Tribolium castaneum: one gene and its partner. The protein of the gene in region 1 interacts with the protein of each later gene in a pairwise test. Links are inferred from orthologs where the notes say so. Each region holds a gene or a part of one and is shown in the gene's direction. Other genes may lie near its edges.

Evidence for each region.
Region 2: the proteins of p115 (region 1) and CenG1A interact in a two-hybrid assay, tested with the Caenorhabditis elegans proteins (2 studies listed by BioGRID). The link is inferred for Tribolium castaneum from reciprocal best matches to the Caenorhabditis elegans genes uso-1 and cnt-2.

Annotation. Positions count from the first base shown.
Region 1 is NC_087399.1:6,665,185-6,670,621, reverse strand, and holds the start of p115 (general vesicular transport factor p115), read left to right. Parts: upstream 1-2,260; 5' UTR 2,261-2,343; coding exon 2,344-2,421; intron 2,422-2,478; coding exon 2,479-2,822; intron 2,823-5,437. Other genes in the region: radial spoke head 1 homolog, read right to left, coding at 1,107-1,597, 1,650-2,010.
Region 2 is NC_087400.1:2,514,598-2,520,025, reverse strand, and holds the start of CenG1A (centaurin-gamma-1A), read left to right. Parts: upstream 1-2,209; 5' UTR 2,210-2,283; coding exon 2,284-2,500; intron 2,501-5,428.

The DNA of each region.
Region 1 (5,437 bases):
GTTTTTTTTTTCTACTTTTATATTTTATTTGGTCTTAGACGAAATCTGAATATCAGCAATTAGTAGATTGCCTGGACCGTTTCACAATAAAATTATATTTTTTTATTGTGAGCCATCTCATTGTAGAAAAAATAGTGTATGCAGCTCGAATTTAATAGCTAGATGCTAAGACACTAAGTATACCTACATATACTTATACTTACTGCGACACTCGCTTACGGCTCGTGCTATCATTAAATACTTATTGTATAAAATATGTACTATCAATTTGATAAATACTTAATTAAAACAGGTTTTCCGACGACACTAAATATTTAATTTAAACTAAAAGGTTTAAAGCTCGTACTATCGAAATTATGGGCTGAAAATCAACCAAAAACTAGAAGAAAAATGAGGAAACAATTAAACAGAACCAAATGTCGTTTTTTGCACTTTTAATAAGAGAGTTTAAAAAACAAGATTTATTTCTTGATTTTTCGAGGGTACGTTATACGGTGACTAAACAAAAATTAATTACGGGTAAGCAACAAGATTAATTAATAAATTAACTAAATCAATTAGTAAAAAAATAGTAACGGACTAAAACTGAGCTAAGTTTTTTTCTTAATCAGTTGCACTACAGCTCGAATGGCCCATTTTTTGCACGATTTCATCACTTTGTTAAATTTGTGGCCAATTAGTAAAAATCGCCCAATTTAAATATTCTACCGCAACTTATTATTATTGGCAGGTGAATTGTTGCTAATTTCGGCCATCTGTTACGTACATTATTTTCTAATAATAGCCCAGCTTGAAACTGTTGATTTTTTAAGGCAAACAGATGGAAAATTGTATTTAAATAAAAACTACTGGTGCAATAAATTAAACCTAAATAAACAGCTACTTTGTTGTATAAAATAAATAAATTACAAAATGATTAATTCCCGACGATTTAAATAAATAATTATAATTGGTTTGGGGCCAATATTTCAGACTTAGCCCGACTGGGAGTCAAACACAAGAACCTAATTATATTCAAATTTATCACAAAATCTTTATTTTTCAAATTCGAGTCGCCCACGACCCCAGGTGTCCCGATACCAATCACAAATAAATTTTAATTAATTTTAGCCTTCACCAAAATTTGAAGCATAAAAAATGCAACTTGGCGCGCACGTATTTTTCGATTCTTCATCGAAGTGTTGGCGCAACAAATCGTGGTTGATTTTCTTCGGCTTCTTCCAATCTTCGCGAATTTTTGCACTCGTGTAATATTTTTTGTACCACGCTTTTTCGTCATCGGTGAGGCTCGAAACTCCCAGAGTTGAAATTTTCTCAAAGACGGTTTGCTTCATTTCTTTGTTCTTCTGGTAGTCTCTGAACCAGTCAGAGTCTTCGAAATCAATAACGGACTTGGTTTTGGTGCTTTTGGCGAAGACTTGTCTCTCTAATTCTTTCAAGTCTGGTGTTTCCACTTCACTCGTTTCGCCTTCTTTTTCTTCTTCACTCGGAATTGTTGTTTCTTTGATTATAGGGCGCCCTTTGCCCCTTTCTCGGTCCAGTTCTTGCGAAAAAATGTGCTCACGGTACAGCAGCGTGTGCTCAGGGCCGGCCTTACCTTAATTACACTTAAATTTATTTCATTCGTAATCACAAAACTGAAAAATTACCATGCCAAAGGTGTCCCTTGTAATCAATAAAAATCACATTCCCCGAAGGCTTATTATTCAAAAATTCGCAACACAACCGGCCTCCCCTACGAAAAGTGTATGTCCCTGGACCGTTGTACTTGTACTTTTTGATTTTTCCCTCAAAAGTGTCGTTATTTTTGAACATAATGCGCACATTTTCGTTTTCATTTAATTTATCGTCCTTCCAGTTTCCTTCGTAAAATTGCAAATCGTGCGTTTCGTAAACACCATGGCCTTGCCTCCATGCTAAACCACTAACATGAGCGCAAAAGTGACCCGAATATTTGTCCCGATTTGGAAAAAGAAACTCGTGTTCACCCTCTTGAAACCCCTTATTCATATTCCCGCCAAAAAACGCGACATTTATGTGACACTTTGACTGAGGGCGCCATCTTCCACCCACTAACCCAAGCGGACAATAACAGGTCGCTGTATCATAAACCTGCCCAAACTTTTTCAGTTCAGAAGTAAAATTATAAAACGCCACTGAGCTACGTCCAAACATAGAAAATTAACCAAATACCTCTAATATCTTTGAAATTATGTCTTTGAAATTAACACACAAAAAGTGCCCCCTTTTGTGCGTTTCAAAAACTGCGCTATTGACGTTTCTTTGTATACATGTCACGTCAAAATGTCAAAAATTTCAAACAATTTGTGTTAATTTCGTGAAATGGAGTACTTCCGGAGCGGTTTGAAGTCGGTGCTGGGGGCCCCGGCCCCCGGCACCCAGCCCACGGGTGCCGAGACCGTAAGTGCCCCCGAAACCCCAAACAGCTGTCCTGACCGCCCCTAACCCCACTTTTAGGTGGAGCGGCTTGTGAGTCGGGTCAGTACTTCGACGTTACTGGAGGACCGTCGCGACGCATGTCGGGCCCTTAAGGCCCTGTCTCGGAAATATCGCCTCGAAGTGGGGGCCCAAGGCATGGATGTGTTGAGACAGGTCCTGGAGTTGGACCGCTCTGACTGCGAAATCATCGGCTATTGTCTCGATACGTTGTGTAATATCACCTCGAAGGAGGTTTTTGAGGAGGAGAGTGAGAGTAATTTAAACATTAAGGTCAATGTGGGGGAGCAGTTCACTGAAATGTTTATCAAAAATGCCGAAAATGTGACCCTGGTTTTGAGTTTTTTGGAGGAGTACGACTTTAGGTAATAATTGCTTTAACTAATGACTGATCACACCTTTGCACCTCTTTCCTTGTGGAGATTCTTACTCTGTGATTTTACGAAATTTTGAAAATTAAAATTAAGTGTGTTTATATTTGAAAAAAGTTCGATAGAAATCAGAAATAATGTGATGTTTGAGTTAAGTGAGTAGTTTTTCTCTCACAAAAACCAACATTTTAGTTCAACAACGTACTCAAACACCTAAAAATTGTTAAGAATAACACTATTTTTGGGCAAATTTGCAATTTTGACTAATATATGTATTTTCAAACGGTTTAAATAGAGTGATACAGGTCAAAATAACGGTAATTTGTTTTAAGCAGTTTTGACAAAAAACTAAAGTTTTTAAATAAAAAATGAACTTAGACGTACTATTTTTAGTGAAATCTCGTGAAATACTATTTTTATTTCTAACCAAAAAATAAGCTAAAACGGTCCAAAAAGCAAAAATGAGTTATCATTTAATTAAGTATTTTTCGAACTAGTTTAACAATATCTGACAAAAACCCTAAGATTTTTTATTCAAAAACAAGTTTAGAGATGAGAAAAAGTCAAAAATAACATTATTATTTTTAACCAAATTGATGTTTCGTTTATTTTTGACAAAATTTCAATAAATAACCAAAGCCAGTAGATATACAGTATATCTACTGGCTTTGTAAATAACAAGGTAAATCGAGTCAAATATCAATTTTGATTTGTTCTTCTAGTTTTTAGCAAAACAAAGCTAAGTCAAAATTAATTTCGATTTTTTAAACAGACATACTGTGTTTTTTGCAAAAAAATAAGTTTTTAGCTGATAAACATACTAAAAATACAGAAAATAATTTTGTTTCTGACTAAATCACAAGCTAAAGCGCTAATTAACAACAAAAATTTGATTGTATATTTTATTTGTAGTGTTTTTTGGCATATTTTAGCGATATCTCGCAAAAAACCTTTAGATTTTACTTTGAAAACGTGCTTAGAGGTTGGAAAATTATAAAAATGACACTACTTTTACGCAAATTGTTTATTTTTGTCGAAATTGTGTTCTAAAACGAACTACATAATCATGTATTTTTATGAGTTTTAGTTTTCAATTTTAGCCTAGTTTTTGGAAAAAAATAAGTTTTTACTTTAAAAATTTTTCAGTTTGTTTTATTGAAATTTTGTAAATTCATTTCGTTTCTGACTGGAAAACTAGTAAAACCGCTCGAGAAGAGCAAGAATAGTACAATTAATTGCATAACTTGGTAATTTTTAGACCTGTTTGAGCGAAATCGTTCAAAAATTTTGAAATTCTAGTTCGAAATCGTACTTAGGGGGTAAAAAAAGATAAAAATAACATTATTTTTGACCAAATTACCATCAATTTCGAATTATTTTTATAATTTTCTTGATCGATTTTATTGATTGAAACTTGCTTAAGACAAAAATAACATTATTTTTTGTTTAATTTAATGATTTTCAAGCTTATTTTTAACGAAAGTGCTAGCATTCCTAACTGTAAAACAAACTAAAATGCTTATAAATGCAATATAGTAGAGTACTTTTTTTGTAATTAGATAAATTTACGGTCGGTTTTAACTGAAATTTTACAAAATTATTGAAAATTTAATGTACTTAGGGGCTCAAAATAAGTAAAGACAACTCCAACTGCCATCAGGTTTTGTGATTCGTCGGCTTATTTTGGCGAAATTTCTCTCAGAAACTATCAATAAGTCGACTGAAGCAGATGAAATAAGATCGATTTCGATCTATTTTAGAATATTTCTTAATTTTTTGGTTTCGATTTATTAAAAAGTAAAAACTACACTGAATTTACTGAATTTACAGCTTTCACCAGAGAAATACGTGTTAAAGCACGCGAAAACGGTCTAAATTAAGATATTTTCACCCATTTAATAATGTTTGTGTTTGATCGGATGAAGTCGCTTATTATCGGTAAACTAACCTTTACCACAAGGAAGGAGGTATTCGGAAGTAAAATTACCGTTGGGGGCGCCACTGAGCTAGGTCGAAAACAGTAACCATAAATGGCGGGAAAATGTTTATTCGGATATTTTGAGCGTTGTACGAATTTTGGGGCTTCACAATTATTACATTGCCTATGCGGAATGATTATTTCATCTTTGATGCAAGAAACTTATGTTGACAAATGAGAGATGACGAGGAAAACACGAATAACGAATGACTGTTTGGTTCACTTTCTTTATTGGAAAATTATTACAAAGACATTGAAAAGCCTACCTTTTGGCATAATTTACGTTTAAATGTATCAGCAGTTGTTAATCTTTATTGTAGTTTTGTAGATTTACCGCAGCATTTCATGATTTTTTCAGTGGAAAATTCTAACCTAAAATTCATAACACTTCACTAATTTATTGGTTTCTTGAGCCAAACTTTGTGTTCGCTGTGATCCATTACTTATAATCTTTAATTAGACAACTGTTTGATAACACTTTGTAATCAAAATTTAAATATTTTTCACTTTTTATCCACTTTCAAGTTCCAACAATAAACACTTTATACCACGAAAAACTACAGAACCAAAGTCAACGCTAGTATTTACCACCACGTACTTTTAAAGTAATTCTTTCTATTGTAAGTAATTA
Region 2 (5,428 bases), on another chromosome or scaffold:
TATTCTTTTTATAATAATAATAATAATAATAATAATAATAATAATAACACTTTATTTGTAAAAACAAACAAGCGGACTTTAGAATTTTTTATGAAATTTTAGTCAAACAGCTCAAAAATTATTGTTGTTCATTATTATTGTTTTTTTCAATTCCTAAATTTCTCCCGAAAAATATTTTATAAATAAACAAAAAAGTTATTTTTTATAATTTTATTATATAATAATTTATTATTTTTACCTTTTTTCGAGAATTTTCAAAGACAATTTTCAGTCAAAAAGTTTAAAAATTCGCCAAAGTTGGCAAAAAATCACTTAAGACATGATTTGTTTTTTTTTTCGATAGATTACTTTTGTTTTTGTGTGAAAAACTCACTTATTTTAAAAAAAAAGTGTTCAAAAATTGATGATATTTTGATACTTTTTTTCGAAATTTTGGGCTTATTTATGGTGTGCCTTTTTGCGGTAAACTCATTTTTTGCGAAATTTTGCAAAAAAATTGCTCAGTTACGTCGACAATTACGTTATTTTGAGCCAAAACTATATAATTTTTTGCTTTTTGTGGACTTTCAGGCATGATTTCACTACAAGAGGCCAAAAAATCACAAATAATTAGGCAAACAATTTTTAATGAATAGTTTAAAATCATTAACTTTGCCTTTTTCAAATTTTCAAGAAAATTTTTTACTTAGAAAGCTCGATTTTCATACAAAATATTGCTCAAATTGATCTAAAATTAATCATTCAAGTTCGTAAATGGCATTATTTTTACATTTTTCGAGAATTAAGCGCAATTTTTAACAAAAAAATAGCATTATTTTCGAGTTTTTCGTTAGATTAATATTGTTTTGGAGTGAGAAACTGCCATATTTTGGGAAATTTTCTCAAAAAATGACTAAATTACAGCAAAATTGATTGAGAAACTCAATTTTTTTGAATTCCTTGTTATAAAACGCGTCAAAAAATCACAGAGAAAAATTGAAAATGACATTATTTTGGTCTTTTTCGTTAGATTTTATGTTTTTGAGTGAAAAACTCCCTGATTTTGTCAAATCTTGCCAAAAATGATCAAATTACAGCGAAATTTATGACATTTTGGGCTTATTTATGGTGTGCCTTTTTGCGGTAAACTCATTTTTTTGCGAAATTTTGCAAAAAATTGCTCAGTTACGTCGACAATTACGTTATTTTGAGCCAAAACTAAATAATTTTTTGCTTTTTTTGGACTTTCAGGCATGATTTCACTACAAGAGGCCAAAAAATCACAAATAATTAGGCAAACAATTTTTAATGAATAGTTTAAAATCATTAATTTTGCCTTTTTAAAATTTTCAAGAACATTTTTTAGTTAGAAAGCTCGATTTTCATACAAAATATTGTTCAAATTGACCTAAGACTAATCATTCAAGTTTGTAAATGGCATTATTTTTACATTTTTCGAGAATTAGGCACAATTTTTAACCAAAAAATAGCATTATTTTCGAGTTTTTCAGTAAGAAACTCACATATTTTGGGAAATTTTCTCAAAAATGACTAAATCACAGCGAAATTGATTGAGAACCTCAATTTTTTCGCGAATTTTTTGTTATAAAACGCGCCAAAAAATCACAGAGCAAAATTGAAAATGACATTATTTTGGTCTTTTTTGTTAGATTTTATGTTTTTGGGTGAAAAACTCCCTGATTTTGTCAAATCTTGTCAAAAATGATCAAATTACAGCGAAACTCGTGGCATTTTGAGCCTATTTTTAGAGTGCCTATTTGCCAATAACTCTTTTTTTTGCGAAATTTTGCAAAAAATTGCTCAGTTACGTCGACAATTACGTTATTTTGAGCTGAAACTATGTAATTTTTTGCTTTTTTTTTATTTTCAGGCATAATTTCACTACAAGAGGCCAAAAAAATCACAAATAAAGGTCGAGGTCATATTATTTTGGCCTTTTTGTTGGATGTGTCTCATTTCAAAAATTTTTGAAAAATGGCAAAATATGAGTGAAATTTTAATCAAACACTTATTTTGTGCTAACTTTCGTCGACTTTGGCACGAAAATAAAAATCAATTTGAAGTTTTTTATACTTATGTTGTTTATTAAACACCTCCCTCGCCTTCGCCTCGTGCTGTAAGCGCATGCGCAGTCCACAGCACGCGTTTTTGCGCCTACTAGAGAGGGGGACAAACGCACCTCAGCTCCCCTACTTCTCTCCACACACTTTACTCTCGTTCAACTCGCGAGTGATTCCGGTATTATCCCGAAAATGCCGCTCCGGTGAATAAAAAGTGCACGTGATGGTGGATTTAAAAGGTGAAACGGTGCCAATAACACCGAAAAAATCGCGTGGAATTTCAATGACAACAGTCAAAAATTGGCTAATGCCCGAACGGAAAACTCAAGACACGCCGAAATTTCAACGAATGCCTGAAAGTTTTCTCCGGTCGATCCGGAGGCGTTCTTTGAGGGTGAAAAGAACGAAGTCGTTGGTCTTACCGGAGAAAAGAAAGTCCGGTGAGTGTGTGGATAGAGATGCCACTCCGGTGTGTGTTTTTTTGCGAGGGAAATCGGTGAAAGTTAGCGCCAGGATGGTTATTATCTACCTGTTGGTTGTAACGACGCAGAAATTGGTGTCACGTGTGTGTTTGTGCCAAATTTTGTGGTTTTGTGGATATGTGAGTGAGAATAAATTGCGAGAAGTTGGCACCAAGTGGAAAAATTGTGAAGGAAATTGCCAAATTTTTTCTTGTTTAACAAAAATATTTTCAAACTAAATTTTGTTTGGACACCAAAAATAAAAAATAAAACAATTTTTCAAAAAAGTGTATTTTGAGGCTAATTAACTAGTAACTGAAATTTTTTAAAGGAAATGAAGTAAAAAATATTACCGTTAAAAACTTCCTTTGAATGATTTTTCAAAATTTTGACCAAAATTTTTCTGAAAACAGTAATTTTGAAGTCATTTTTTGAACAACTAGTGACGGGTTTAAAAAAAAAGAATAAACAGAGGAAATATAATTTTTGAGACCGGATTTTCCAAATAATCATAATTCGTGAATTTTCATTTTTTAGTTAGAAAATTTGGTCAAAATTTTAAATTTTTGACTTTTGAGTTAATGATCAATTAAAAAAATTACTCCGGAAAACGCTGAGCTTTATTAGATTACTTTTAAAAATTTTGGCTCAAATTTAGAGAGGGAGTGAGTTTCATTATTTTGAAAAAAAGATGAAAAGACACTAAAAACCGAACTAAAAATTTTTCTGAATCTATACATTTTTTTGCGAGAAATACGCTGAGAAGAATTTCCGAACTTTTTTCAAAAGTAATTTTGAGTGATTTTTTGAAATAATTGTGGAGAATTTTGAAGGAAATCAACAACAAGGCAGTGAAAAATTGCGCTTTTTCTGAAAATTCTTATGTACAAAGTTTTTTTTCTTAAAGAGAAAAATATACAAATCGGTAAAATTTAAATTAATAACGAATTTTCAAACTAATCAACTCGTTCATTGGAAAGGAAGTTGCTATTTTTAAAAAATTAAAGCTTTTTTAGTAAAGAAAACGATAAAATTTTGATTTTTGTAAATTTTGGCTTAGATTGGAGTCAAAGCAAACGATTTTTTGAAAAAAAAATATTGTTTTGGAAATTTTGTATTTGGTTTTGGAAATAAACTAATTCAAAATATTTAAAAAAATAGCCAATATATGTTTTTTTTTTGGAAAGTATTGTCAAAATTTGCTGTTTTTATCATTTTGGAGCTGAAACATATTTAGTTCAGAAAACGGTAAATTTTGCTTCAAATGCCTTTTTTCCAAATTTTGACTTTGGTTTTTGAAACTAAATTTTTTGCTTTAATTTTGAAAATTAATTTAACAAAATTTAACGATTTTTTGCACCAAAAATTGAGTTTTTAATGCCCTTTTTTTTACAGTTCGAATTTTTTGAACTTACGGCTAGTTTTTCAGTGTAAGTTTCCACATTCCATATTGACAGATAACGAATTTCTTGTCAAAATCTCATTCAGAGGGGGAATAAATTAAATAAGCCCACAGATTTTGGGCGGTTGTCTTAGCAACGCCATAAACAAAGGGCCCTAACACGGTTTCGCTTTAATTTGAATTCAGGAAGTAATTATGGCCACAGGGGTTACATAATTGATTTTTTTCTCAATTGAAAAACATTAGTTTTAATGGATTTTTAACTACTGAAAAATTACAGTAACGTTCTCTTATTTTATTATAATATCAAACAAAATCAGACTGTAAAACACCATTGGCGACATTGTTATCACTTGGTGATACGACGTAACGATAATGTAATAATAGAACGGTACTCGGGTTTGTCTTGTGGGTCGTTGAAACGAGGCCGAGGCAAATTTTCAAATTCTTGGAAAGCGAAAATTGCTATTTATATTTTTCACTCAGAAATTGGGATTATTTGCGCAAAGTCTTCGATAGTAGAAGAGCAGCTGTCGTAACTTTACTTCACTATTGTGCTATTCATTCGAGTCAGCTGCTGCTGAGGAGGAACATCTCGAAAAAAATTTTAGTTCGATGAACTTGAAGAATTTTTTCTTCTTGCCGTTTCCGTTTCCGTCACAGGTCGAAATGATCGGTGTTTAATACACCTTGTCATTGCTTCCGGCTAGTGAATATTATTTCAGGAAATGCAAGACTCGGACAGGAAATTAAATATTCATTATAAAAGCCGGTGTCGTGTTTCAATTGAAATGTGCCTCAAGTCGTAATTCTACAGTTGGCAAGACTGTTATTTCGCTGCTGACAGGTTGATTTGCTGCCGCTTTCCACGCAACTAGCTTGCAAATATTTTTTATTTTTAATCTTTCAGAAAATCGCAAAAACTACAATTTGGTCAAAATTTCATCAAAAAATTGCAAAATCTACAACTAGATTCTTAAAAAATAGTCATTTTTTTAGTCTTTCATTTAATTCAGCTATTTTTTCTTTATTTTTAACTCATAGTTAATTTTTGATTTCAATTAGTTTTCAAAAGTATATTAAGTATATTAATTTATAGAAGTGCCATTAATTTAATCTGCAATTTTACGTTATATGGGCGTACTTTTTATTTAAATTTTCGTTTATTGTGACTTTGAGAATTTTTTTTTTTTTGGTAGGTAGGTAAGTAAATTTTTTGGCCAAGTTGTTTTTTTACACAATTTTGTCTTAATTTGGACAAAAGTTTGATCAGCGCTAGATATTCAAGGAATAAAAAGCGCTACAAGTCGTTTTTCGTCATTTTCTTACTTATTACACATTGCAAAAATAAAAATTGACCAAATTTTGTCTAATATCTCCAAAACTACGAATCGTACAACAAAAATAAATACAGATTCGTAATCCTTGGACGATTTTACGTCAGATAGGCATACTTTTGACTTAAATTTGCGCTTATTGTAGCCTCGACATTTTTTTTATTAGTA